Schizosaccharomyces pombe: one gene and its partners. The gene in region 2 interacts genetically with the main gene of each other region. Each region holds a gene or a part of one and is shown on either strand. Other genes may lie near its edges.

What was found.
Region 1: mutations in fnp1 (region 2) and utp16 together harm fitness more than expected from each alone (negative genetic interaction), as found in Schizosaccharomyces pombe (one large-scale study listed by BioGRID).
Region 3: mutations in fnp1 (region 2) and plb3 together harm fitness less than expected from each alone (positive genetic interaction), as found in Schizosaccharomyces pombe (one large-scale study listed by BioGRID).
Region 4: mutations in fnp1 (region 2) and SPOM_SPBC17A3.06 together harm fitness more than expected from each alone (negative genetic interaction), as found in Schizosaccharomyces pombe (one large-scale study listed by BioGRID).

What each region holds. Positions count from the first base shown.
Region 1 is NC_003423.3:3,648,749-3,655,862, reverse strand, and holds utp16 (U3 snoRNP-associated protein Utp16), read left to right. Parts: upstream 1-4,042; coding exon 4,043-4,080; intron 4,081-4,125; exon of another isoform or gene 4,126-4,146; coding exon 4,147-4,689; exon of another isoform or gene 4,690-4,833; coding exon 4,834-5,236; 3' UTR 5,237-5,502; downstream 5,503-7,114. Other genes in the region: protein vac7, read right to left, coding at 1-83, 159-318; CENP-H-like protein Fta3, read left to right, coding at 727-1,389; ubiquitin protease cofactor Nxt3, read right to left, coding at 2,068-3,183, 3,300-3,374, 3,443-3,556; karyopherin exportin-T Los1, read left to right, coding at 5,782-7,114. UniProt on the Schizosaccharomyces pombe protein: Functions as part of the small subunit (SSU) processome, first precursor of the small eukaryotic ribosomal subunit that coordinates the first two steps of ribosome biogenesis in transcription of the primary transcript pre-RNA and pre-18S processing.
Region 2 is NC_003424.3:4,640,621-4,648,856, forward strand, and holds fnp1 (folliculin complex subunit fnp1), read left to right. Parts: upstream 1-1,686; 5' UTR 1,687-1,874; coding exon 1,875-4,403; 3' UTR 4,404-4,557; downstream 4,558-8,236. Other genes in the region: GTPase dml1, read right to left, coding at 122-1,519; SPOM_SPAC30C2.08 (uncharacterized protein), read left to right, coding at 4,940-5,102, 5,234-5,969, 6,026-6,122, 6,174-6,551.
Region 3 is NC_003424.3:1,067,201-1,074,975, forward strand, and holds plb3 (lysophospholipase Plb3), read right to left. Parts: upstream 5,163-7,775; 5' UTR 4,928-5,162; coding exon 2,939-4,927; 3' UTR 2,723-2,938; downstream 1-2,722. Other genes in the region: transcription coactivator Rqt4, read right to left, coding at 1-518, 573-1,252; wdr55 (WD repeat-containing protein), read left to right, coding at 1,531-2,616; SPOM_SPAC1A6.11 (uncharacterized protein), read left to right, coding at 6,334-6,654; plb1 (lysophospholipase 1), read right to left, coding at 7,577-7,775.
Region 4 is NC_003423.3:1,410,021-1,416,657, forward strand, and holds SPOM_SPBC17A3.06 (phosphoprotein phosphatase), read left to right. Parts: upstream 1-2,844; 5' UTR 2,845-3,034; coding exon 3,035-4,027; downstream 4,028-6,637. Other genes in the region: SPOM_SPBC17A3.05C (J domain-containing protein), read right to left, coding at 1,342-2,087, 2,152-2,588, 2,643-2,671; mitochondrial glutathione reductase Pgr1, read left to right, coding at 4,476-4,527, 4,583-5,925; SPOM_SPBC17A3.08 (deoxyribonuclease Tat-D), read left to right, coding at 6,245-6,276, 6,331-6,524. UniProt on the Schizosaccharomyces pombe protein: May be directly involved in signal transduction and/or cell cycle regulation. It is necessary for maintaining growth rate or spore germination. Could show both activity toward tyrosine-protein phosphate as well as with serine-protein phosphate.

The DNA of each region.
Region 1 (7,114 bases), on a different chromosome or scaffold from region 2:
ATTTTCTGATTCTTCATCGTTTGGATCCTGATCAACGGCAGAGGCCACTCTTGCTGCAAACATAGCTGCTTTGGAAGTCATTACTAAAATGCATGTTAATATAATGATTGAAATAGACAAATTGTGTCCTCAAAAGCTAGCAGCTGCTAGATGCATACCATTGGGCAAACTAATTTTTTTCTTCTTTTGAGCATTTTTTTTTGTTTTAAGGGTTTCTAGAGACGCTTTTCTATCGCAACTGCTCGGAATCTGCACTTGAGACACATTCAAGACCGTCTCAGTCTCAACAGACATTTGCATAGGCTTGGGCTCCGACATATCCTCCTGATTAGCAGAATTTACGTATTTTCGAAGTTAGCTTATGAAAATATTTTGATTTTCGATATTTCCATTCCTATGTATATGTATTGGCATTCCACATTGGCAAAGGATAAATAGTGCAACATACATTTGACAAACGTCAAGTTGCCAAGCCCTACCCTAATTAAATTATTAGCTGCTAGTGCTAATAACTCCTTAAAATTTTTGACGTTAGCAAACTACTACGTGAAAACCAGGAGAACTTGTAGAACTCCCGGTTTCCTTTAAATAATCTCTGATTTTGGTTTCTTCATGTAATAGTCTTTTATTAGTACTAAAGCTTTTTATCTCCGTATTCCTCGATTTTTAGGAAAATACTGATTAGTTCAATATTTGAAAATGCTTGTTACTTAACGAACTGACCGTATGGATAATAACGACCAAATATCAAACCTTTGTCTAGGGGCTTTACAACTGCTTGCCGATCAACCTATTTCGGTTATCTCGAATGAACCATCTGAAGAACAGCGGAATGAGCACGTCCTGAAAAAATGGGAAAATAACGTTTTAAGACATTGGAAAATTCTTTTTTCTCTTTTTATGCAAACTTGTGGTGATAGTGTACAAGGAAATGCTGCCTTCTCAATCCTCAATTTCATGACTACTAATAGTTTAGTGGGACAACTATATCAGCGACTATATGATGAGTCTAATTCATTGGGCTTTATAAGTAGCCCTTTGAACGAGACAGAACATTTGTCGGAAGAAAATTTAAAAATCGAAAGCAGTATTACCTTCACTAGTGAAGAAATTGAGAAGGAAAAAGAAAATATTAAATCTGTATTACTTCCTTCAGTGCAATCTATTTCTTCTTCTTTAGAATTGTATGCGTCTAAAGAATCTGATTATAGAAGCTCAATTGAAGGTGTATTAGCTGACTTGAAGTTAGCGCGTGCCCGTTGGGAAATCGTTAGAAACGTGACACAAATACTTTTGCTCGAATCCGGCATTAGTTTCCTAGAGAACAAAAAACTTGCATATATCATGGATCTATGTGGTGATCGTGAAGACAATTATAGTTCCTATTAAAAGTCTTTATTTTGTTTGTGAACGAAAAATTTGGTATGTTTTTATGAATGTTATAAGCCCAGTGATGCTTTTTTGAATTTCTTCAACGGAGCCGTTTGTCTTATTGACATGCGATGTGGGACGATATTTGACATACTGAGGGCCAATCATTCATTTTTCTGACTTCATAATTTTTCTTACTAACCTTTAGAGTAAATGAATTCTTTATTATGAATATTTTTAATAAAAGCTCCTTTTTTACTCTTTGTAAAAATTTTAGAAACTAGAATACATAAAATTTTATTTAAAGGTACTCTAACAACAATAACGGATGTAAAGGAGAAAATTGGCGAAACCGTAAAAATAATAGATTTCTCTACAAAATGAAGTAGGGTTGGGCGTTATCGGTAAACTGAATCAAGCGGACAAACCACCGTTGTTTTTTTAAAAAAGGAAGGCTTATAATAGTCGGAGGTTTTTGGAATGAGACAATATAGAGGCGCTGATGTCAATTGTGAACATCATCAAAGGTATACTAATATATAGTAAATAGATTGTGAACAATCAAAAATTTTGCGAGCTCAGTAATTCTTTCTCCACAGTCGCAAGAAAACTGGCATCTGCTAATGTATAAAAAGTCAAGAGTCAATAGTATATACAAATCAGTTATAATTTAAAAACCGTATGGACAACAGACACTTAATTATTTTGCTTTTTAGAAGTAGTCACTTCTTTTGAACGACCGTCAAAAGCACCACGGTTACCTTTGCGAAAATTCCTTTTCATTCCATTATAATTATCGTTGGACTTCTTATCTCCCGATTTGTTGAATTTACCGGAAAAAAGACGGCGTCGTTCTTCTATGTTCAGCGTGGCATTGTTAATTTGCAAAGTTTTTTTGTTCAAAGCCAATTGCACGCATTCATGGTTGACAAAATCAACATATGCGGTGCCTTTGCGACGAGCAAACTCAATAGCCTTGACTGGTCCAAAAATGCTCATAGCAGATTTCAATGACACATCAGATGTTTCGGGAGGAATGTTCTTGACGAATACAGATGTCTCCAACAGTTCATTACTCTGAGTGTACGGCGCTGTTGGCTGCTGAGTTTGGTCAGCATTAACACCTTTAACTGTTTGACCAGTTGTAGACGCAGTAGAACTAACTGATGCTTGGGATTTCACATCAGGATGATTACGAGCTATGAGATCAGCCCAAGATTTAGGTGCTGTAGCAACATTTGCATCGCTAGCCCCTATAGCATCAGCATTCTTCGAGTTTGAAGTCAGAGCTTCATCTTGAAGCTGATTTTCCTGCTGAGAAACAAAACTTGGGACTGAGGCTTCCGTAACTTGGATAACGGGTTCTTCAGGAACAGCCAAAGTAGCTTGATTTAGACTGTCGGTCTCATTTGATATAAGAGCGGCTGTGGCAAAATTATTTTCTGTAGCAGCTGGATCCTGGTAATGGCCTTCTTCTTTTGCAGAAGGTAAATGTTCTTGAGATTGCACGCCATTTACGTAAGGTTCAGAAGCAACATCTTTTTTCTCTTTTTCAACAGCATCAGGTGACTCCTCTTCTTCCTCAACATCTTCACGCAAAAAACGGAAAATATCGTTTAAAACAAAATAACCATTTGGTTGTTCTGCAAGGAAAAATGTTTGAGCAAATTTTCTGGATAATTTCCCCTTATTAGACATTTCACCCAGGACCTGGATGACAATGCCACCATTCGAAGAAGCCAAACTGTCAACGTTTGAAATAAGTACTTTGCAATTTTGAAAGTCCAAGTCCAATATCTTGTTATGAATTTCCTAACACGTTAATAAAATGACTATTGGGCAAGACAACGATCATAGAGTTTCGAAAATCGCAAGCAGAATATCACAACCTCAAAAACTTTACATATAAGAATTGTGTTAAAGCATACCTGTTGTCCATGACAAAGACTAATACTCTCGCCTTCGTCTCCGTGAATTAAAGTTGACTTTTTAGTATAGAAACACTGTATTACAGTTAGTACGGTTCACAAGTTGAAGAAAAAAAAACTTTTGGTAAATTATGACGACCTACATGAAGACGATTGGGTTCTTTATTTAAATATGTATAATATTCTTGAACGAACATCCATCCTATCTCATCCTTTCCCAAAACTGGTTCTAATAATGTGGCATTTTCCGCAGTCATGTTTTATTTAACTGTGACAATAGCTATACAAAGAACAGAAAATCTGGCTCTAAAAGACCCAAAACAAAATTCGGTCGTGTCTTATGTTTTCCGTGCGTTGGTCTTTTTAATGTCCCATCTCCTTGCTTTCAATGTCCGTGATTACAGCATTTCGTAATTGGATTTAACGAGACTAAACGATATTTCTGTTGATCTTTTACATTCAACTTGTTCGCATAAGTAAGTTAGTTGATGGAAAGAGAGACCTTTTGGTCAGAAAATTGTTTGGTTTTTCATTTCAACAAATAACATAAACATCATATGATTTACCATAGATCAAAGTTGCATATATTTCTTTCTATTATTGTTTTGCAAATTGATTATATTAGAAACGTTAATTCATTGGAAACCACTAAACATTTTGAATAGTAATACGACTATATACTGTGCTAGAGAGATTAACCTGCTAATGATTTTGCCAAAAGTCAATTAGTTTAACAGCTTTAAATGCAATCGTCTAGAAAAATTATGATACTAAAAAGAAAGTATGCGAGCCTTTAAATCATTTAATTAACGAAAATTGAAATTACTTTCTTCTTCTTATTTACCAGCATTAAAGGGTTAAAATCTAGTGCTATAATTGCAACGTATCTTACTTTAAATAAATTATTTATTGATAAATTTTGTAAGACTCAGGAAAGTACCTATCCTATCCATTTTGTTCACTGCCATTTTGGTGGCATTAAGAAGTTTCACTCGCATTGCCAGTTATCCTCCTCCTACACCAATTCAGGTCAAAAAAGTTTCAAATCCTTTAATAGTCTTCGTTTTATAGTATTAAAATCCAAAACTTGTCTGTTAAGGTATAAACTTCTGATAAAGACATTTTGTTGCATTACTTATTCGAAAATTGAAAATTTGTCAAATACTAGAATGGCAAGATTGACTGCCCCAAGCAAAGGTCCTTCATTTTCAAATTTAAACAAACCAAATGATTTGTTGAAAGCGGAAATTGAAGATAATGAAGCCTCACACTACTCTCAAAATCAATCATCTGACAGTGATTCTGATGAAGCACCTGAAGAAGTTTCGCTGAAGAGCAGCAGCGATGAGGTAAAAAAGAGACTTCAACGTCTGAAAGGGAATGAATTACAGTAAGTTTTAATAAACGGAATGAGGGAAACACTTAAAAATACTATTTGTTTTGGTTTGAGACAGAATAATAATTTGTTTGATAAAAGTTCGACTGCTCATTTCGTTTCCTTGCTTTTGATAGTATTATTTTTAACACATTTTAGGCTTCGAAAAGCTGAAAGAGAAAAACGTAGACTGCAAAATGAAAGAAATCGTGAAAGAAATGCCCAACGGGTAAGCGCATCAAAGTTGGATTTGGCTATTCTTGAGGCAGCTGAAGTTGAAGAAATTAATAGTACCACGGAAATCGAAGAAAAGGTTGACGAAGCAAGCCTTGACCTATATACTCCAAAAGGACATAAAATTGTTTTTCCTAATAACGAAATTCCTAAAAAACGTACTCGTTCATTTCGTAAAGGTGATTTTAAAGTGAGCGTTCTTAAAGAAACAAATGACCCTTTACTAGCGCCGAACTATGAAAAGAAACTGTCACAGCGTAAACGGGATTGGATAAATCGACAATCAGTTCCCCGGGCGTCTAAAAGACGACGTCCCTTGACTTATTAATTTTCCTTTCTCTATTTGGCAACACATTCGCTGTAAATTGAAAGTCAGGCACAAGCATTGCATTTTCTGTTAATATAAGGGTTTACTTTTTTGTTTATTAATAATATTGGTTGGGAAAAGGTTGTCTGGGTTCTAAAACATTCATTATTTGAAGCTTTGGACATGCTAAGTGCAGTTTACGGCTGTTTTTTTGGTAAATGTTTAACATAGTATTTTTAAAAATAAACACTTTAGACAAACATGAGTTAATTAAAGTTGTATCAAGGATTTATTGCCATGCACTAGAGGAAATTCGCTCATGTAACGTTTCGTACATCATAGATATTATAGATATCAGTAGCTATAGCTCATAAGGCCAAAATTTGCATAAATATATTATTAATTGTCTAGTGTATGAACATTTACTACTTATAATTATAAAATATTTGCATATAAATTTCTGAGATGGTTTGTACTTTCGACTACTTGCACTAGGCAAACTTCGCTTTTTAGCACCACAAAAATTTTGTCACTTCAAAGCATTGTTGACCTTCACCTCTGCAGCCATGTCGGCCCAGGATGTCGAAAACGCAGTAGAAGCAGCATTAGATCCTTCTGTAGGACCAATAATAAAGCAACAAGCTACAGATTTTATTGGTAGCCTTAGAAGCTCATCTACAGGTTGGAAAATATGCCATGAAATTTTTAGTGAAAAAACGAAATATAAACCATCAACAAGACTGATTTGCCTTCAAACTCTTAGTGAGAAAGTTAGAGAATGGAACAATGAAAGCAATTTGTTAGAGTTACAGATGATAAGAGACAGTGTTTGGTCTTATATTAAGGAATTAAGCTTTTTGGATGAACCAGCTTATATTAGTAATGCTGTACAACATTTATTGACATTATTGTTTCTTCAACTATATCCAAGCAACTGGAATGATTTTTTTGCTTCACTCCAAGGCGTTATTGCGGCGTCGTCTCAATCTGAGTTTTCAAATTTTTATTTGAAGGTTTTACTTTCCATCGGCGATGAGATTGCTGATTCATTGGTTTTAAAGACAGATGTTCAAATTCAAAAAGATAATTTAGTAAAAGATGCAATTAGGGCAAATGATATGTCTGATATCGTTTCATTCGTCTATGAAATGATGTTGGCCTATAGTAATGCTAAAAACTATGGCACGGTTGGATTGTGCCTTCAAGTATATGCACAGTGGGTATCTTGGATCAATATAAATTTGATAGTTAATGAACCGTGTATGAACTTGTTATACTCTTTCCTTCAAATTGAAGAATTACGTTGCGCTGCATGCGAGACAATGACCGAAATTGTGAATAAGAAAATGAAGCCACTTGAGAAACTTAATCTGCTCAATATTCTTAACCTGAATTTGTTCTTTTCAAAGTCGCAGGAACAATCCACTGATCCTAACTTCGACGAACATGTCGCCAAGTTAATAAATGCACAGGGTGTTGAACTTGTCGCTATAAAATCCGATCCTTCAGAACTTAGTCCAGAGTTGAAAGAAAATTGCTCATTTCAGCTCTACAATCTTTTTCCATACCTTATCAGATATCTTTCTGATGATTATGATGAAACCTCGACAGCAGTTTTCCCCTTTTTGTCCGACTTACTTGTCTCACTTAGGAAAGAATCTTCTTCCAAAGAACTTAGTGCTTCTTTAAAAGAATTTCTTAAATCTCTGCTAGAAGCTATTATAAAGAAAATGAAATATGATGAATCACAGGAGTGGGATGACGATCCTGATAGCGAGGAAGAGGCCGAATTCCAAGAAATGCGTAAAAAATTAAAGATTTTTCAAGATACCATTAACTCTATTGATTCTAGTCTATTTTCTTCGTACATGTATTCTGCTATAACTTCTAGTTTATCTA
Region 2 (8,236 bases):
ATAATGAGGGAAAAGCTCATTTAGTCAAGCTTATTAGAAATTTTCTCAAGTAATCATTGGACTGTAAAAGTATTTGGAAATTTCATACTTTGAACTATTCGCCCAACGTATTCCTTGATTTCTAAATAATATATGAAGATAATATTTCTCTTATTTCTTCAAGTTCATCTTGATCAACAAATGAAACAAAGCGACGATTCAAAGATTTTGTAAGACCTTGAATGTGTGAATTAATTTGACCGTCATTCGTAGCTTCCACAAAAACAGTATCCAATGTGCGCAACCCTTCTGGAACTGTCTCTAAGCTCGGCAATCCTAAATTTTGTATGTTTACTATTTTCGATATGCTACTTGCGTTATAATTTTTTCCTTCTAGTAATCCTTGATTATCTTTGGGGCTGCGTACGACTCCAAATAAACAATTGTTTTGCTGACTGTAATCTTGAGCAACATTAACAAAGGAGGCACTACTCACTAGTGCCCATTCTTTAGACGAGTAATTTTTTGCTTTAAAGTTCAAATTATGGATAAAACCTCTTCCTTCTGATTGTAGCTTTGATTCGATATCTTTCATTCTGTAGCAGGAAGACCCGTAAACCCTTGTGGGCAATGTAAAGGACTCAATAGCCAAATTAATTTTTGCGGAGGAAGCCCAAAGGTCATCACCTTGTGATATTGTACACAAAGGGAAGTACTGAGAACAAGATCCGTTGAGCTGAGATAACGAAAGTGCTTCATTTAGTTTTCCGAAATGATTATCAATAGTTGCGGATGAATCTGACTGAATCGGCTCTCGAATCCCATAGACCCAAGTGGGAACACGACATTCTCCTAGCTCATCTTGAACTACTTTCATGTATTCGCTCGCAAATCCACCCCACGGAGTGTCTATGTCTATTGCTGCTTGAAACCCTTGGACGCTATCACATTCTTCAACAAGCGGCCTCAATCCTTCATCCCATACATTGAATTGCTTATCAAAATCATGAAACCTTTCTACACCGAGTTGAAATGAAAAGTCCGATGAATTCAGTTCCGAACAGTTTACTGGAAATAAATACTCAGTATCTAAAAATAACCGATTGAAATCTGACCAATATTTAACGCTTTTTGGACGAATAGAAGGAAGTTCATATTCTGATTCTATTGCGTTTCCCTCATGGATCTCATCTCGACTCCAAAGTGCTTCTTGGTACGGATGCACATCGACTGGAGTCTGCATAATCTGCGTGAGTTTACCATCCCATGCTGTACCTTTTCCTCCTGATGACTCATTTAACTCCTCTAACCAGTTTTTTCTAGTATTTCCAAACTCAATTGGAGTATCATATATGCACTCACGAGGAACCGTAACAATAGCTTCTGGATCACGCTTTTTCAGTACACGGAAATTGGTGTTTACATTAACCTTTGCATGATCGTTCGGATCGTATACAAAATAAGACTCTTGAGTGTTCCAAAAATGCGTCCAACAGAAGTTGCTCTTTCTTCCAAATGTAACTGTTAATATTTCATGCATCGAATATGCAAATGCCTAATAGATTGTTAAATGTATTTTGTAAAAAATGTATATACATGTATTTTCTAAATATCTAAACAATACTTGAGATAGATTTCGTAACCATAACCCTAGTTATTAGAAAATTGGTGTGAGTTAGTTATACCGTTACTAGCTTCTGTCTACCTAACCAACGCCAGTGAGAAACTGCTGCTGGGGAATGTCAAACTAACGTAAGAGTGAAGTTTCAGTACATGCTACTGTTATTTCTAAGCATCCTTTTTTAATTTTGCAATTCAAAGCTTTGTTTTCTGTGTAGAAGCATAGCATAAAGACTGAACCTGTAGAAATTAGTTACCGCGTAATGCGTTCTTAGATGCTTCATTTTTTATTTCATTCAGGATCTTCATCAAATAGAAACTCATCGCCGAAAGAATCCTATGAGCTTCTTCATGGTTTGGACAAACAATATCAAAGTACTAAGGATGTAACGTTTCGTCTTGTCCTCGTTCAAGACATCGGAGACCGAAAAAAAACTGTTTTGTTTGACTCTAATCATGTGGATGGTCAGAAAGGAGATAGTGTGCTTAGGGACTCGGCAAATGCTCCACTTACTGATCTGATGTTTGGAGCAATTCCTATCTCCCATAAAGGAACTACCACAAAGTTGCATATTCTTCATCCCCCTAATCCTGCCACAAGGTCTTATATGCTTACTCAATTATTTCAAATCAACACACATGGTACAGTAGTCAATTCTAGTCACGAAACGATTGCATCTGCTACTTCATTATTTGAAAATAGTAGTTCGAACTTTTCTGAAGACCCTAATAAACCCAACTCAAGCGATGCCTTTGAATCGAATAAAGAAGACAGTCCATTATTAAAGTCTTTTAATGATAGCGCTATCCCTGAGAATGCAGCAAATTTATCTTCTTCTTCTAAAAACATGAAAGATTCTACTTTAAGCAGTCAAAAAGCTCGTTCGAATACAAGTTCTTCCTTTTTAACACCTTTGCATGAGCAACTGGAAAGTCGCTGTGCCTTACATACAGCTGCTAAGGATCCTTTTCGATCTAAAAATTCGCTCCGGTGTAACAGGGGGCATTCCCCTCTTTCCTCCCAACAAATTTTGCCTGCAATTTCAAACAATACCTCAGAAAAGCCTGATTCCAATAATTGTGGTTTTCTTCTTCCTTCAAACTCAACATCAATAAAGGATTTAAAAAACGTAAAGAAAGGAAACAGGTTAAATAGTCCTCCGTTTATTACTATTCCTCAATCCATCAAAAACACGAATTCTAATTTTCTGCTTTCTTCACCTTCACTTTTTAGCGATACTCGCACTCGTCCAGCTTCGTATGCTTTAGCTCTTATCATTACTGTACCTTATGAATATGACGAAATTGTTCATCCTGTCAGTACTTATTATACTATGCTATCAAATTTTACGCTTTCTTTGCAGAAAGAAATAGATGAACGAATTCGCAATCTTTTGTTTGTTTCACTTAGCAGTGGGGGGGATAACAAAAATGATACAGGAATTCCATTAATTCAGTCTTCATCCTCAAAAGTAGGTTTCGGACCATATGCTCTTAGCAAAGATTTGATTACAGCTAAGAGTTTCCACAAATGCATATTGTTACTGAAAACTGGGTTTTCGGCACCATTGATTAAGCCTTCAGTATTTAGTGGCAGCAAATGGGTGGAAAACATGCGATTGTTAACCGACTTGTGTAAATCTCCAGCCCAGAAGTGCTTGTTTAGCAATTTACTAACAGCTACTCGAAAATTCTGTTTGGAACGCCAAAAAGATGATGTTACTTTTAAAGTGTTATTACAGTCTAGCAAAGCACCAATAGCTCGACGTTTTTTATATCTACTAGCTCCATTAATGCGACCGTCAATTGCGCAATGTTCCGATACGCTTCTTAATCCTATTCAATTATATCCCAACTCTGGAATACTCTCATCATCTAGTCTTTCTACTTCATTTGGTTGTCCTTCTGTCTCTGGCTCTTTACGAGTACCTTCCTATGATATGAAGATAAATGATTCTTGCAAAGCTATAGATATTCATTCAGAGAAACCATCGTTTGCTGATTCTCCTAGGAAAACGTCATTACGAAATTATTTGAGTAGCAGCTGGCGATTAAAATTTATGCGTAGTAGTTACCAAAATAATGAGACGGATCCGCTTAATCCAACTTCTGGTTCTTTTTTAAGACAACCAATGCAGTATAGTTCACCCTCGGGTGTTTCGGAAAGTGCAGCGAGTAGTTTTTTGGATATAGAAAATATCGATGAATATTTGGAAAGCGCTGAGAATATGAAATATTTACCAAGGTCAACTGTAGGACCAGGAGGTATGCTCCATGTGGATCTTTTGGAAACGAATGCTAAACAGGAATCTGAGGCAACTACTTCCACCGTTCCTCCGTCTCCTTCGCAGGTGGGATTTTTGAAAGCCTTACATCCTTCTTTTGACTTGCAAGCTGCCCCCCCGAATTCATATGTATCGTTTTCTGATGATGATTTTATTTCCGCGACATTGTTATATATGCTAGAAGACGTTTCACGCAACAAATCCCAATTGCTTGCTGAGAAAAAGCATTTAAAGTCGCAGCTCATGGTTGCTAATCTTGATACGTATTCTCTCGATTGTTACGAAATACACGAGTTTCCTAGCGAGTGGGAAAATGATTATGCGCCTTTCTTGCTTAAAGAACATCACAAAGTCATTGGCGAAACTTACGTATCATCTTTTGACATTCAACAAGGCTGCTTCAATGTTATTAAAAGGCGTTTATCATCATATAAATGGGACAAATCTGATGACTCCTTCGTAAGCGAAGTTTTGAAAGGCGATTTGAAAGAAGTTTTGAGGGTGTGTTCTCATTGCTAACTTAGTATATGTAAACAAGAATTTTACACTATTCAATATATAAGTTGTCAGTAGAAATGAAATAATCCTAGAATTTTATAAATTTTGATTTGACAAATTTCATTTTTTTTCCTGCATTTAGTGGTTCCGGTTGAACATTGCTCAGTAATAAATTATGTGATCAAAAAGTGATTGTTATAAATTATGTTTAAATATAGCATTTATTTACTAAAAGGTTGAAAAATTATCTGTTAGTTATTTACCGTTGGGCAGAAAACTCTAAAACACATGGCATGCATCCTTCATTCAAAAGAAAGAAATGAACGTTAACAAACTAAATTTTATGGTTGTTTTTTGAAATTATTCAAAATTTTCTACGTTAATGACACCAGCTTTTCTATTTCGAGGTTTCTCGTTAACCATTTAAGTATTTCCATGTTTATCATACCGTGCAGTTATCCTTTTCCAACCACCCACCAACAAATATTGTATTTGAATATTGTCTGTATCATTCGTTTAAGTGTTTTCAATATTAGTTCAAAAGAAATACAGACTTAATGATGTCTTATGAGCCAGCTGAGCCTGTCCCCGTGGAAGAACAGCCAATCTTGGAGAAATTGATAGGCATCCGTCAACGCCTAGCTGTTTTGAAACGAGATCGTACGAGATTCATTGAGAAAAATGAGGTTTTTCATCTGAAAGATGAATTAGTGGAACAGAGTATGTAATTCGCTAATATTTGTGTCAAATTATGGATGCATATGGATGAATGAATGGTCATCTGTGGGATAAATATTTGGCTCAAAATTTTGAAATTTAAACAAATTTTTGCTAACTAAGTTTCATTATAGTGAATTTATTGGACTCTAGACGATCGACGAATAGCACTCGAACTATTGTTGATTCACAGTTAGAAGATTGTTTGCACCTATTATCTTTATTTTATCTAGCGATTGGACGTAACAACGACTTGCCTGCTTTTTTCGTACAATTGGGAACTGTTAGAAGGCTTTTAGAGTATAATTTAGAAGGTGCCTGCTATACGCAGAATGACCTTAAGCCTCTCAAAGAAAGGTTGGAACGAATTAGGGCTGCAATCGTTGAGGGATCTAAAAAAGAGGATGCTTCTCCAGTTGTTGTAAAATACCTGAATAACAAACTTGCTGTTTGTGATAGAAATTATAGTGAAGCCCAACATAACATTTCAAAGATTTCACCAGAGCTTATAGGTATTCAAACTCGTTTGGTTTCTATTCATCGTCAAATTGATGGTTTTGCCGTTCGTCCTACATCTGACCCTGGATTTATTGACCGGACAATGGAACAATTGAAGGAAATTGAAGAAATGAAGGATTCTAATGGGATGTTTTGTGACGCTGACCATGTTCCCTTACAAGGTCAAGAGCTGTGTAACGGTATACTTGAAGAATGCTTTAGTTTTCTTGAGGATGCCAAAACTAAGGAAGGTTTGTCTGATGAAATGAAATCAAGTCCTAAGTTACAACAAATTTACCACCGTCTCGACGAGTTGCTTAACAAACTAAAACATCTTACACTTACTCATCGCTGGACTTTACGTGAGACTGAGTACGTTTTTCTTTAGTTTTTTTTTATCGAAGAAACCTTTTGCTAACGGATTTTAGTCTTTACGTTTATCGTGCTTCTCTAGCGGAAATTGACTCAATGCGTATTGATGGTCAATTTTTGGACGAACAAGGCAATGCGCCTGCTGGCCAAAGGGTAAGGAGTTATGCAGAAGTTATATGAAATCTCAGCTAATTGATATGTTAGATTCTTTTATATTTACTACGCCGTTGTTATGCTTACATATACCAATTACTTTCTAGCAGTGAACCAGTGTCAGAAGAGCTTATGGCCGTACATAATCAACTTCGAACTGTTAAACGCTGCTTACTTGAAGTTCAGAGAAGCGGAGGTATTTGCTCGGAAAGAGATTTGTATCCCTACCAAATGAAGTTGGCCTCATTAGAGAATCTTAGGGTGAACGGAAAGTTTTTGGCTTCCGACCATTCCGTACCCGAAGGACAAGAGCTTGTGAACTCGCTTTTGACTCAGTGTCATCAATTAATCGAGGAACTTCGCGATGAAAAGCATCAACATGATATAGAGGAACGAGAAGGATCTGAGAACACGGATGGAAACTTATAAACGACTTTTCTTTCAGACACAACTGTATTGAGTTAATGCCTATAAAAGTCATAACCTTCCGTTAACTTTTATGAAGTATTAATAAATGTGCTGGGAGTGTTTCTGTGCGCATTATAACCTTCGGTTAAACTTAAATGAGTCAGATTTGAAAATTTCATTTATAAAATTTCATCTCTTTTTTTTTTCACCACCACACCTTAAATACTAGTCAGCTTCTTAAAACTATGACAGCGATTTTTTATGAATTTTCGAAGCCTCTTATTTGAATACCGGTTTGGTGCTTTGAATTGCAAGCAATGGCTGTTTGATTTTTTTCAAAAAGGGTTGAGGCTATTGGAACTGTGATTTGTCCGAGAATTCAAGCACTGTTGTCATTGTCGGTGAATTTTGAAGCGATACGCGATATTTATTTTTTTTCATTATTATACAATAAAAGGCTTAAGATACAAACTAATTTATGTGAAGACATAAAGAATAAAAGTATTATGAATCATTTTGAAAACTGGTTTGTTTTAAACACTCGCTGCGTATACTTGAACAATACGTGACAATAAGTAGTAATTTTCATAATACGACAAACCGTATTGAGACATGGAAGACATGGAAGTTCTCATTTAGTAAGTTGTATAAATCTCATTAAGATGTTTTACAGTAATTCTGCTTTGCATTTCATTCCCTTAGCATCAGGCAGAAAACGTTTGAGGTAATCTTCCTCTGAACATTTTTCGACCAACAAATAAGCAAAGGAATTGGTCCATAGTAATTTAAGCAAGCAAAAGTGAGTATTGAAAACGAGTCACTTTGCAGATGTAAAAATAAATTCAACTAATCCATGCGCGAAGCCAAACGCAATTAAGAAGCCTAGGAATTATAAAAAAGGGATACCATCATTCTGCAATTGAGACAAATAAAAATTCATTATTTAATTATCAAGATTCGTGATTAATATGTATGTGTGTGTGTGTGTGTGTGTGTTTTTTTTTTTTTTGGGGGGGGGGGATATACACTGGCTTTACATTCAGTAAAGGCTCAATTAATTCATAATCACAACAAGTTTGAGAAATTGAAAAGAGCTACCGCAAATAAGACATGTATAACAGCAAGCTGGATTAGAATTCTAATTAGTCGAACCATTGAAATTCTTTTGATTACTGAGGTTTTGAAACCATACATTTCTCTTAAACACCAAACATATGCAACCTTAGTGTCGCACTGCTTATACTAATTTTTAAGATTCTCAGTACGATTAGGTTCAGCGCTATATATTCTTATCAAGGTATCCTAAACGATTAAAAAGCATCACCATTGTAAATGATTAAAAGGAAATAAGGATCAATTATTGTAAGTAGCGGGTCTGTTTTCCTCGATTAGTCTGTGAAGACATTCGCTACAGAAAAAGAATGCACGTTAACAAAAGCACATGAGTTAAGTTCCTGTTATACAAATTTGAGAATATTGAAGCCAACTAGACTTTCCGCTACTGGATTTGCAACTTCAACTTTGCCGATTGTGAAAAAATAGTGACGAGCAGCGGACATCTAAAGCGTCGCCTGTCCCGCAATGCGTAGATGAAATCCAGTAGATGCGAGTAAAATAGAAAAGATGGTGACATCGTTACTTCAAGATACTGTGAAATAGCGTAAGGGTGTTGAAGGAAGACTTCATTCGGTTGCTTCGCCATACTA
Region 3 (7,775 bases), 3.6 Mb from region 2:
GGCCCTCAACTTTAGTTAAATTGTCAAGTTCATCCTGATCTTCATCAGAACTTTCAGAAGATGCTTCCTTTTGATCGACTACAACTTTTTTTCCTGAAAGACTAATCGACAATACCTTCTTTTTTTTCTTTTCCTTTTTAGCCATGGCCTTTTGCATTCTAACAAGATTTAAAGCTTTCTCAGCTGGAGATGCCCAAGTATCAGAAGCTAGCGAAGTAGGATCAAAATCAGCAGCTTCGTCGATAATACGAGTTCGTTGAGCAGAGGTTCTATCAAAATTTAATAAGACATTTTTTCTTTCTTCAGCCTCCTGAGCTTTTTGCTCTAGTTGTTTAGGATCGAGAAAAATTGAATGCAAGGAGGAATTTTGCAACCTTTGAAAATTATTTTTACTAGAAACGGTTTTGCTTTTTCGTTTTTGATTGGCAGCTTGCTTTAAGCGGCTTCCCTCATGCTTCAACTCTTGAATTAATTCCAACTGTTGAGCTTTGCTAATGACAGGATTATCACAAAAGGTGCTAATTAAGATTAGTAAAAACTTGTTAATAAGATATAGTAGTAATATTACTTACCAAGGCCCAATCCCCTCAACAATGCAAATTATTTTTCCACAATTCAAACAATTGGGAGCCGCCTCATTAAGCGGATGCTTACGTCCTTGACAATTGCAGACTCTTCTTTCTGCTTTATTTATATTTTGAGATATCTCTATTTGACGTATAGCTTTTTCGATGTCGGCGAGACCTTCAATTCTGTTAGAAGAAGAGTTATTATGTTTTACACTTTTCTTTTCCGGAATAAGGTCAGAAGTCATTACGCCTGGAGAGACATTTTTCGTAGTTTTGCTAGATTTTTCATGTGATGAAATATTGTTTGATTGTGATTTATTCCTCGAAGCAGGATTGACTTTATACATTTCTTCATCATATCCTTTTTGCTTATTGTTAGCGATATAGAAACTTGGATGAGAAGATGTGGCAGTATTTTTTTGCCGAATATTATTATTTGGTGTCACATTCTTCTTGTTTTTCATGATCGATGGAGAATTACCAGAATGCGTAGAGTGAAATCTTTTTTGATTGAAGTCACTAATGAATTCTATAGTCTCAGCAGAATCCCCCAGTAAAGAAATCCAATAATCTTTTGCGGCTTCGGAAGAATCGACTGCTAAAGCAGTGCTTGTTATCATTGCGGCACTCTCATCGTCGACTGGCAAAATTTTCAGTACGTTCTCCTTCGTCCATTTTTCCATGTCTAACTTTCTAAAAGAATTCGTAGTTTAACGATTTCGAATAAAGTCTTTGAATAAAGAATCCCCAAGTAAAAAATACTATTGAATTATTTAAATGAGTTCAAGAAGTTCGTACAAATAAAATTTTATATGCTTTATGTAAATTTTCCAAAACAATATCAAGTTGGTAGTGTAATAGTATTCGCGATTCTAGGGTATGCAAATTTGCTACAGGGCAATGGGTGCTGAGAGGTGGATTGCCCAGCTCTAATCACAGCCTACTTGTCCTAAACAACCTAATGGGTGGAACAATAAATGCTGCTATAAAACAAAAATTTGAAAATGAAATATTCGACTTAGCTTGTTTCGGTGAAAATCAAGTGTTACTGGGTTTTTCAAACGGCAGAGTTAGTAGCTATCAATATGATGTCGCACAAATAAGTTTGGTCGAGCAATGGAGTACCAAAAGACATAAAAAAAGCTGCAGAAATATTTCAGTAAATGAATCAGGTACCGAATTCATTTCTGTAGGTTCAGATGGTGTTTTAAAAATCGCCGATACCTCAACGGGGAGAGTGAGTTCAAAATGGATAGTGGATAAGAATAAGGAGATTTCTCCTTATAGTGTGGTTCAATGGATTGAGAATGATATGGTCTTTGCTACAGGTGATGATAATGGTTGTGTTTCTGTTTGGGATAAGCGCACCGAGGGAGGCATTATCCATACCCATAATGATCATATTGACTATATATCTTCTATTAGCCCATTTGAAGAACGATACTTCGTTGCTACTAGTGGTGATGGAGTTTTGTCAGTAATCGATGCTCGTAATTTCAAAAAACCAATATTGAGTGAAGAACAAGACGAAGAAATGACCTGTGGAGCTTTTACACGGGATCAGCATTCAAAAAAGAAATTTGCTGTTGGTACTGCCAGTGGAGTTATAACTTTATTTACAAAGGGTGATTGGGGGGATCATACCGATCGCATTTTATCGCCAATTCGGTCCCATGATTTTTCAATAGAAACAATAACTCGTGCTGATTCTGACAGTCTGTATGTTGGCGGAAGCGACGGATGTATACGTTTGTTACACATTCTTCCAAACAAATACGAAAGAATTATAGGGCAACACTCTTCGCGATCAACCGTAGACGCTGTGGATGTTACTACCGAAGGCAATTTTTTAGTTTCCTGTAGTGGAACCGAACTAGCTTTCTGGCCGGTTGATCAGAAGGAAGGAGATGAGTCATCCTCCTCTGATAATTTAGATAGTGATGAAGATTCCAGCAGCGACTCTGAATTCTCGAGTCCTAAGAAAAAGAAAAAGGTGGGAAATCAAGGGAAAAAGCCTTTAGGAACTGACTTTTTTGACGGTTTATAATTCAAAACAGCTTTGATATCTATAAAATTGCACAATCATTATTAAAATTAATTGTCTGTATATTTAAAAATAAAAGCGATCTTCCTAAATTAACTAAACTAAACATCTTCATTAGAGAAAAGAAACATTGTGCTTCGAAAACTTAAAATGAATTCACTAACACTAACACTAAAACTACAAAACCTTTGAACCCCACAAGTTTGGTAGTGATTAATACCTTACAATTAATAAATAAAAGCCTGACTCAGTCTATGCTTTTTAATTCTTTCAAGTCGAAAAGTGACTCATACCAAGGTGTGTGAGTGGGGGAGGCTTTCGTCGTCTATAATAGTAACGAAACTGTTAGAAGCGAAGCAAATAAATAAAATACTATAGGTTTGGCTCGTACAGAAGAGGTACCAGAAGTGGTTGATGCAGATAACACAGTAGGAGCATAGTTTGAAACGGCACTAGGGTTGTTCACGGTTGTTCCATTCCAGCAGTATTGTTCAAAACAAGAAGAGCATTGACTAGGAGTAGACATATTTTTGCGCTCCAAGGAACGTTGTATCATGGCGCATGCCAAACAGACTGCAAATGAATCGCTGTTGTTTTGAGTAGCCGATAGAGCAGCATTTTCAAGAATGCCACTGGACAAAGTGTCATTCATAGACATGGTAAACGTGGAAATATTGGAATAGTAAACCCAAGGATAATTGGGGAAATAAACAAGAAGAGGAGGTGTATTGTTATCTACGGTATGATTACCTGCAGTAGTGTTTCTGCCGTCACATCCAAAGAATGTTGGATGAGTGTTCAGTCCCAAGGAAATGATTGTGTCCTCATCAGGGATATACGGGAAACCTCGAACATCAACACTTTTATTGGCGTTATAAGTTATAATCCTTTCATATGTAGTAACAATAGAAGAGCCATCAGGCCAACCATTAGAATCATCATAAGTTGCGTCAACAGCAAATATAACGTCAACAAATCTTTGAGGATGTAACAAAGGCCAAATAGGAATGTTCTCATCGTCTTCACCACCATCTACTAAATCAATAGTATCGAATCGCTCAAAAGGGTTTTTGACGGTGGTGTTTGTAGTCGTGAAATTCTGATAAGGATTGGGGTAAGGAGCGATGTCATTTTGATCCTCAGAAAGTTTTTCAAATACTTTATGAATAATATCATAGAGAGTACTATTTGACGTTACTTCCTGACTCCATTCTAACAGAAACGTGTTGAACAATGTAGCTGAAGTACCCATAACAAAACCGGCATTATCATAGTTACGAATGCACTTATGGTCTGGTGGAACACCATTCTTTAAATGGGTACCGACGTATTCCATAGGGAGAAAAGCTTTAATACCATTGTCCCAAGTACCAAACTCGTATGGAGTAAATTCGAATATACTGGTGTTGGCAGGGATAGCTTTTTCCTCTTCCAAACGACTGTCAGATATAATGATGGGATAAGGATAGTCGGCATTTTGGAACCAAGTTTGGTTTCTAATGCTAGAAAATGTGATATTTGGACCACCTTGGGTAGCATCGACAAGCTTACGAGATAAAGCGCGTCCCCAAAGATCGGTCAAAGAAGTATCGAATCCTGCATCTTTCTTTTGATCAATCTCATCATCCAGGTCGTCATAATAAGCAAGATTTTCGACAACATTGTCACCATGAGGAGCAAAGACACTATGTTCCAAATTCCAAACGTTGTCACGTAGATAAGTAATATTGGCAAAGTTATTAACAGCTACGGAACCGACCAGCCATGAACCACCAGAAAGACCAGCGATATACATGGCGGATTGAAGAATTCCAGCAAGTGAAGAACCATTGCCATTTCGAGAATCGAAAGCATTTAAAACACCTCCTCCGTGGACCATAGCGCGGAGTCCACCGCCAGAAAATGCAAGTCCTAAACGAGGGCCATCTGAATCATTAATCACAGAGTTTACATCTACGTCCAAACCAGTGTTGGAAATAAAGGACCTCATTTGTGTATTGATTTTGGGGATACGTTTATCAATGAAACTTTGCTCGCCTGAACTTATTCCGTCAGAAGCAGGTCGTAGCATATAGTCACTAGGACAAGTTACATTATAAGGCGCGTATGATCCAACACTGTCGCGCTTGGAAAGCGAAATCGCCAAAGCCTCTCGTTTTTGCATTAATGAAAGAGGCGTGTCATGCATGCCCGGTCTCATTAAGTCAGATTCCCCAAACTCATACGGATCCGACATTTGCTCGCGACAAGGCGGGTACGCCAAGGCCGGCAGGATCTGGAGCAGAGCGAGTATTCCAAAACAATTAAATAACATTGTCTTTTTTTTTTATAGTTAAACCGTCTTTAGGTCAATAAATTTGGGAAATTATGCCAAAATCTACACACCGCTTTGCTTGAACTCAGAGATTAGAAGGCCGTTACAAAAACGCGCTCAAAACAAACGATGGAATCAACGACTGTCTCTCTAGACCCACAAAAGTTTAGAAAATTGACTATACCCTCAAACAATTTTCTTGTGAACGAAAACAACACAACAACGGAATATTTGTAAACGGATGGTGAAACAAATTAAACCAAAAGCGCCCTACTACGTAAAAATTTTAAAACTCCTTATAGCTGAAATTCACCCGTATTCCAACGCAGCTCTTACTGTATCACTGTATCTGCTTACCGTGCTGTTATTTCTGCTCCGGTATATGAGGATCTGATTATTGTAATTTGTGTCTAAATAAATGACAAGTTAGTATCCAAAGTTATTGATTTTTATTAAAAAGCATAGCGTCTCAATGTTAAGATAAACACTGGATTTTGCTCTTGAATTTGGCGAAACGCTTGACAATTCCATGGTTTATAAAATTTTCTGTTTGCGGTATTGCGGAATCAAATGCGAAACCATTTACCATTTCTGTTCATCGGCAAACGTCGCATCGTAACCGAAAACCTGGGATTCATCTGCTTTATGTTTCATACAAATGACTTGCAGTTTTGCAATTTCATTCAACAAATTCATGAATTCCTATTCTTTTTCTTTTATTCCAATTAAATACAAGCTCATGCCTAGTCTCCAAGCAAATCCCCCCTTACACTTTCTTACCCTAAAAGTTAGTAGTAGCTAAAGTAGCGACTTGTGCGATAATTTTAATATTGGGAAAAGGCAAGTTGAAAGTGATTCAGCCTATATATATATGTATATATATGTAAGCAGAGACACATATGTCTATCTTTGACAGATTTTTTAGATTCCCATTTTGTAGATCAAAAAAGGTCCATTTACATCCCCATGATGTAAATGCCCTTCCGTTCTATGCGAAAAGAGACCGAGACTGTCGGTCCTTTAAATATCGCTTAATATGTAAAGTTGTTGTGTAAATCTATATTTTGAGCAGTCGCTGAGACGCAAGCCTTTACGTTGAATTTGTTGCTCATCTTCTGGTCAACTATGACTGCTTTAAAGTTCACATTGGGATGAATGTTGCTAAGCTATATATCTAAAATCCTTAACGACGGAAACATTTGCAGGTTAAGTATAGGAGAATGTAGCGTTCAACCGGGCTGGTTATTTCAACTGCGCCGCCCTCGGATATTAAGTGTGCCTCTTCGAAACCGGACCTTTCTAAGGAACTTGCAGATTGTCCTTGACTATTATTTAACACACATTACTGGCATCAAATTAGTCGCATTACATTACAACTGGCCGCATTTTACATAATTGATTAAAATATGAATCACAATGTTTATTTATTAACTTCCTTCAATCTTTGGAGTCATGGTGTATATAAAATATCATCAATCTCTCTCAGTAACTCTTTTTTTCCTCATAGTTTCATGTTTGTAAAGTCGCTACATCTAATGACATCACAACATATCTTCAAGTGTCTTTCTTCTTGTAATTATGCTCTTTCAATTCTACATAATATATGTTTAGCCAGTTTTCTTTATTTATCAAAATGTTATTATCATACACACATACTTACTTCTGTTCGATTAGATTTTTGTAAATCGCATGCGCATACCTATATCAAAAGCAAAGCCTCAACTTAAAGTTAACTCGGATCCCATTTCGTTTAGACTTAAAGCATAAAATGCACACTTGCTAAATAATTTTGCAAAACACGTAACTCACAGTCATCGGATTAGAAAGTAAAGCCCGAGGCCGAGCAAAACCCGCGCAACTACTACAATTTTTTTCTCCCATTACTCGTTGTGATGTATTCTATACTGTCTCATCTACATCCCCACTACTTCATTGATTAAATTGCGTACAGTTGATATAATTTGTAAATGATCGTATAATCTGTTTTACGTTAACTAAATTTTTTCATTTCTACATCTCCTTCCTCATCCTAATTAATGAATTATAGGCTGTATGTTAAAGTTCACTATTCCTTGTTCAAGTATAGCAAACCTTTAAAAATCAAATTTTATCATACAAAATATATACATATAAATAATAATTTTTTGAATCAAACAAAACAAAAAAATTACAGTCAACTTATTTATATAGACAAACAACATTCTTATTACAACCAAGAATTAAAAAAATGACTTATTTTCGCAACTATATATAACAGCAACTCTCATAAACAACTAGAACACGTCCAATTTGGAGCCGTCAACAAAACTGAATTACAGCAAACGAAAGCTCACAATAGAAAATGAACAAAAAACATTCCGAAGAGAGGGTAAATTAGAATAAAATACTTTCGGAAGATAACAAAATAGTCTCCCTAATTAGAGCGGAGTGAACGTTCAGTTTAATAATCCGTTAACAAAAACCCATATCGCGTAATTGGATTGATTCACATATATGGCTAGGTTTGATTTATGCTAAGACAGCAGACATTGTATAGATTTTTTTTAAAAACTTTTTTCCAGGCATAAGCATTGCCCTCTATCTTTTGCTTGTGAGCAACAGATATGTCGTATAAATACTGAAGAGAGAAAAGTTTGCATGCGCCTTTCCTTAAATGCCTTCACCAAGACGGCAAGTAGGATTGTAGACAATATCATCATTAGCAGCGCTGTCATCATAAAGACCGCTCCAGCAGTAGTTATAGTAGCATTGTTGGCACTCGGGGCTAGCAGTGATGTTGTTACGCTCCAAAGTACGCTTAACAACGGCACAGGCAAAACATTGACCAAAGTAGGTGTCATTGTCAACG
Region 4 (6,637 bases), on a different chromosome or scaffold from region 2:
AGTAATGCGTAAATTAACTTAATGTGCCAAAGATTTTTTTGCGTTATGTTAACTTACGTTAAGCACGGTGCCGAATACATGCTCTTTTATCTGAGAATATGTATGTATTATGATAAAGATTCATTGTCGTCTATTGTCAGAAAAACAATATTATGCTTGTTAACGAGAAGCGTTCCCGAATTCAATTATGAGCTGCTTTAGTAACGAGTAAAATAAGAACGATACTTCTGTATAAGAGTATCATAACGTTTTACCACAATATCCTAAGATTATTATATTATGAGATTGTTAGTAAAACTAGCCGTGGTAATTGAATACAAAATGTATAATTAATATAATGATTCGCAAAATTTTTGACTGCAAAATAAAAACCATTATGAGAGAGATTTTAGAAGGAAGAAGAAAGCAGGAAAGTAATTATTATTGACAACGAGTGTCACTTGTGGGTATCTACCTCTACATGTCGTTTTTAAATATTATAGGATATACACTCAAACATGCGCCTTGCTTCTTTACAACCAAGCAATTACTCGTACTTCATAAACTGCTAGTAGACGCAAGCATATTTAAACATTCAGCAGGAACCTGTCTTTTCAGGAAAGCGAAAACGAGTTTAAAATGTTTGTATATAGAATGTGTGATGATTACCAGCTTACCCTCTTTTTTGAGATACGAAATCACGCTTCAGAACTCTGGTTAAATTACTCGCGTCTTTGCAGCTATATAAAATTTGGTTTGCCAATGTCTCTAGCAGTTTAATATTCCTTCTATTTTAAAGGATTTGTTGTTTGGAGGAAATGCAAGTAAATTCACGAATTATATTAATATGATACAAAGGACGCAAAGCTTCTTAATATAGCGATACAGAAAGCAGTTATTAAATGCAAAAAGTTGATTTAATTAACTCAATCTTCGGGAACAAAATTTGGATTTGATTCAAAAAAGCCTCACCTCTTAAGGAAATAATGCTGTTGCAAGATTTCACTAGACTCACGACTGATTAAACAACGCCTACACAACAGATAAAGTTATAAACTGACGCAGCACTGAATGTTCAATAACAATAAAAAAACCACAACATAAACACAAGTTCTAATTTGTTCATGTTTTAAAGGCAACTTTTAGGAATAACGCATGCCGATTTCATTAAAGATAAACAGCCTAAAGTTACCTAAAAACCGAAGAGGCAGGCTTTAAGATACGCGTAAAGAATATTAGTTTTGTTCCAAAAACCCAATTAAAATTTTTATGAAAGTAAACAACACGAGAATAGGTATAGATGTGAATTAAAGAAAATGAAACAAAACAAAGGACAAGGAAGTATGTCTCAAAGACTATTGCTTAAAAATAATAACTGTTTGAATAAGTTCGATAGCCAAGGCGGTTTAATTCTTCGCAATTAGGTAAACGCAATTCTTTAGCCTTCTTCAGTGCCTCTTTATCAGGAAAGAACCATCCTTGAGCTCTTCGAATTTCGTCTTCTTTAATTTGTTGCTCGCGCAAACAAGCATTATGGACGTTTTGAGTATACGTATGCTCGACTTTTTCGTTGAGTCTTCTTATATCTCTTGAACTTAGCTTATCCAAATCCTTTTGGCTCATATAGTATGGAATGTTATGCTTGGCAGTAGTACGAGGAACAGTGTATTTATAGTTTTGTTGAAATGAATAGCGCGTATTAACCGACGTACTATCTGACCAACTAAAGTTGGACAAAAAGGCAAAAAGGATTACCACTATCAAAGGTAGCAACTGATAAAATATGCTCTTTGGGGGCATGTCCTGGGCCTGCTGACGACGTGCAAAATTCCTTGGACGGCCGCCAAACTGATGAACTCGAATGCCAGGTCCACCACCGAAGAAAAATGTTCCTGGACCTGAAAAGAACTGGTCACCAAAGAAAGAATTGAACAAATCTTCGGGAGACATATTCGCTTGAGGATAAGCAGAAAATCCAGGATGGCCTCCTGCGTTACTACTAAAAGAGCTGCTCGCAGCAGAGGCGCGAGATTCAGGATCCATTCCTGTACGGTCGTAGTGTGCTCGTAGATTAGGGTCTGATAAAACCTGAAAGGCTTTTGAAACCACTATAAAAAAGTTAGGATACAAAAAAAAACCTTAAAAATTATTAGCTAAAAAATGAAGACGTACTTTTAAATGCTTCGTCAGCACTAGGTGCGTGATTTTTGTCTGGATGGAGCTGTAATGCTAATTTTTTATAAGACTTTTTGATTTCTGTATCAGTGCAGGTTTTCTTTAAATCCAATATTTCATAGTACTGGTGATTTTTGTACTTTATGATTTTCTGGACCAACAAATGTTGTTCGCTTGTCCACTTCTGTTTCTTTTCACCAGCAGAGCTATTCCCATTTTCCCGCACCGACTGTTTTTCAGAAAAAAAGTTACTCTTGTTTTCTTGCTTAGGAGTTGCCTGAGGATTTGGAGAACCTGTAAGCTTTTGCTTTTCTATTTGTTTCACAAAATCTTCGCCCTCAGTGGTAGCATGAATTCGCAAAGATTTATTAGCAAATTTTAAAGCCTTATCATATTCTCCGGCATTTAAATACTTTCTTGCAAGTCCAATGCATCTACACGTAACATGTGTTAGTAATAAAATCTCACGCAATCCTCATTATTCGTACCTAAGGGCTTCTTCTCTACTAGATTCCATTTTGGTGATATGAAAGAAGGAAATTAAGTCCAAGTTTGATGAGAGAACCAAAGTTTCAAGTGCCTTCAATCTCTGCCAACTTTGTACTTGGATGGATCGATGCTACCAGAAACCCTTTAAACCAAGTAACATATCGAAGGTCAAGTGGCTTAAGTAACATGCACTTTTGAATCAATCCAAACACCAAAAACAGGAATAAAAGGGAAAACTAATTGATATATTTAAAATAATTCAAAAAGAGCATTTTTTGGTTTTGGTTGTTTGCCAAGCGAAATAATTAGAGTAATTGGAAAAGTTAAGTGTTTTTCATGTTTTTATGTTTCTTTCGGTTTCAAAGTGGTAAATCAGAAACTTAATAATAGAATGAGCAACAAAAGTGCATGGCAACCTCAGTTTGATGAAATTCACTCATCCGTTCAAGAAGCAGAAGGGTTTTTACAGTCTAGCAACGATGTACAGAAAGCTATAGACGAGGTGCATTATCCTGACAGCCTCAATGACTTGTCGGAAATATCAAAAAATTTGTATATTAGTAGTTGGAAAACGGCGTCAGAGCTAGTGTCTACTTCAGACAAAGGGATCGATTATACATTAAGCGCTATGAGTATTAATCCCAATTTGTCGGTTCCTGAACAACAACACCTTTGGTTGCAAATTGAAGACTCTAGTTCTCAAAATATTCTGCAATACTTCGAAAAGTCAAATAAATTCATCGCTTTTGCACTATCTAAAAATGCCAAAGTTTTGGTTCACTGCTTTGCGGGCATATCAAGGTCCGTAACCTTAGTGGCTGCATACTTGATGAAGGAAAACAATTGGAATACTGAGGAAGCACTCTCCCATATTAATGAAAGGCGCTCTGGAATATCTCCTAATGCTAATTTTCTTCGTCAACTTCGCGTATACTTTGAGTGTAATTACCAACTTGATCGAAGTTTGCGCCCATACCGCCAATGGCTGTTCAGAAGATATGGTGATTTCGCGGTGTTGAATACTAGGGTACCATCTGAAGTCGCTTACGCTGAGACTGTCCGTGCCCGTGCAGGACAATTAGAGCTTCGCTGTAAAAAATGTCGGTTTGTCCTTGCCAGCTCTGATTATCTGGTATCGCATGAACCGAAAGATGAAAATAATTATTCTCATACAAGATGTACTCATTACTTTTTGGAACCTATTCGCTGGATGCAGCCAGAATTGGAGTTGGGAAATTTGGAAGGTCGATTTGATTGTCCAAAATGCAATTCTAAAATTGGTTCTTATAAATGGCAAGGTTTACAATGCAGTTGTCTTCAATGGGTTTGTCCAGCTTTAAGTATTTTACAGTCGCGTGTAGACGCTGTTAGGAAACTCGGTTGATTTTTTTTTCTGCGTGTGTGAATCATCCACTTGCTTCAAAGTTAATGTATATTAGGAAGATCGCTCTAGGTTTTCAAATCATCTATGTTTATTACAAAAAAATGGTTTATCTTAAAACATTGGTTGCTTTTCCAGAGTTGTCGATGAGATCTTGTAATTAAAGTACTAACCAGTTCTGAATACTTATTTTTTAATAAAAACTCTATACTATCATTGGCCTGAGAAAAGTATTTCCATCTGTTCAATGGCAAAGTCTAAGGAATTCTTCTAATCTAATTATCACTTTATGGAGGTATTGCTTACTTTTGAAGATGACTAATATTGCCATAAAATTTCCTAATATTATCATAACGAATTCATGGTAAAGACGTCTTACCCTTACCTTCCGTTGGTTTATAACAGTATTCAACTTCTTCATTACCTATATACACGAAGTATTAAAACTAGAATGGCACCTATTTCAAAGGTCTTTGATTACCTGGTAATTGGTGGTGGAAGTGGTAAGTACAATTCGATACTTTCGGGATTTGATGGGTTAACATTTATGAATATTAGGCGGTTTGGCTTCGGCTCGTCGTGCTGCCAAACATGGAGCCAAGGTTGCTTTAATTGAGGCATCTGGGCGCCTTGGAGGCACATGTGTAAATTATGGATGTGTACCCAAAAAGATTATGTGGAATATTGCTGATCTCGTCGCAAAGATGAAAACAGCAAAGCAAAATGGATTCCCTAACAGTCAGTTAGGTAGTTTTGACTGGGGAATGATTAAACGTAAACGTGATGCATACATTGGACGTCTCAATGGAATTTATGAAAGAAATGTTAATAAGGATGGTGTGGCTTATATTTCTGGTCACGCTAGCTTTGTATCACCTACTGAGGTTGCTGTCGATATGAATGATGGTTCGGGAACTCAGGTTTTCAGCGCAAAATATATCCTTATAGCTGTTGGTGGTCATCCTATTTGGCCTTCGCATATTCCAGGAGCGGAATATGGTATAGATAGTGACGGGTTCTTTGAGCTTGAAAGCCAACCTAAGCGCGTTGCTATCGTTGGTGCTGGTTATATTGCCGTTGAACTTGCTGGTGTATTTGCTGCTCTAGGAACAGAGACTCATATGTTTATTCGCCAAAGCAAATTTTTACGTAAATTCGATCCTATTATCAGTGATGGAATTATGGATCATTTCCAACATATTGGCATCAATGTCCATACGAACTCTTTAGAATTCAAAAAGGTTGAGAAGCTTCCTTCTGGCGAATTGTGTATTCATCAACAAGATGGATCTACCTTTAATGTTGATACCCTACTTTGGGCAATTGGTCGTGCCCCTAAAATCCAAGGTTTGCGTTTAGAAAAGGCAGGTGTTAAGACACTCCCTAATGGTATCATTATTGCTGATACATATCAACGCACTAACGTTCCCACTGTCCTTTCCTTAGGTGACGTTTGTGGTAAATTAGAATTGACCCCCGTTGCTATTGCTGCTGGTCGTCGTTTGTCTGATAGGCTTTTTGGAGGCATTAAGGATGCTCATTTGGATTACGAGGAAGTTCCCTCTGTTGTTTTCGCTCATCCTGAAGCTGGAACTATAGGTCTTACAGAACAGGAAGCCATCGACAAGTACGGTGAAAGTCAAATTAAGGTATACAACACTAAATTCAACGGTCTTAATTACTCAATGGTTGAGCAAGAAGACAAGGTCCCCACTACTTACAAGTTAGTTTGTGCCGGTCCTCTTCAAAAAGTGGTTGGCCTACATTTAGTTGGAGATTTTTCTGCTGAAATTTTGCAGGGCTTTGGTGTAGCCATAAAGATGGGTGCAACAAAATCAGATTTTGATAGTTGTGTTGCCATTCATCCTACTTCTGCTGAAGAACTAGTTACTTTAGTTTAAATTTTGTCTTTTATTTATCCTTTGTTTTGACAGGTTTTCTCACTTCTGGTTTCTTAAATAGAATTAAAATTATGAGTACTTTTATTTAACATCAGATTTATTTGCAAATTAATTGTTCAAAACTTATATGTAATTGTAATAAAGCTATTTCTATTGCTAAAATACCTATATTTGCTTCTGCAATAAAACTGATAAGAAACTAAATATTTTTTTGATTTCCTACATGTCTAACCCAGCAGTATATATGAATGCAGTTTAAGCTCAACTCTCACATTTTAAACCTCTAGAGGAAAAAAACAAAAAAAAAAGATCTCTACCTATGGCATCAATTAGGCAAGCATTTGTAAAAAGGTAAGTAGTTTCGGTATAAAGAAAGATAATGTAGACTTACGATATGAGCTGCAGTTTGCGATTTTATGACATTGGATACAACGCAACAGATCCTGTTTTTCGAGGTATTTATCATGAAAAACTAAAACATCCTGATGATTTTGATTCCATAATTTCTCGAGCGAAAGCTGTGGGAGTAGAAAAAATGATGATTACCGGCGACAATGTCGAAAACTCTGAAGAAGCCCTGAATTTAGCTACAAACTATGGTAAGTATATCTCACAATTCATTTCTTATTTTATTTTACTAGTATAAAAATTGCTTAAACTGTTTACTACTCAACTCATTCGCTTGTGGCATTTTTGTAAACTCTTGTCCTTT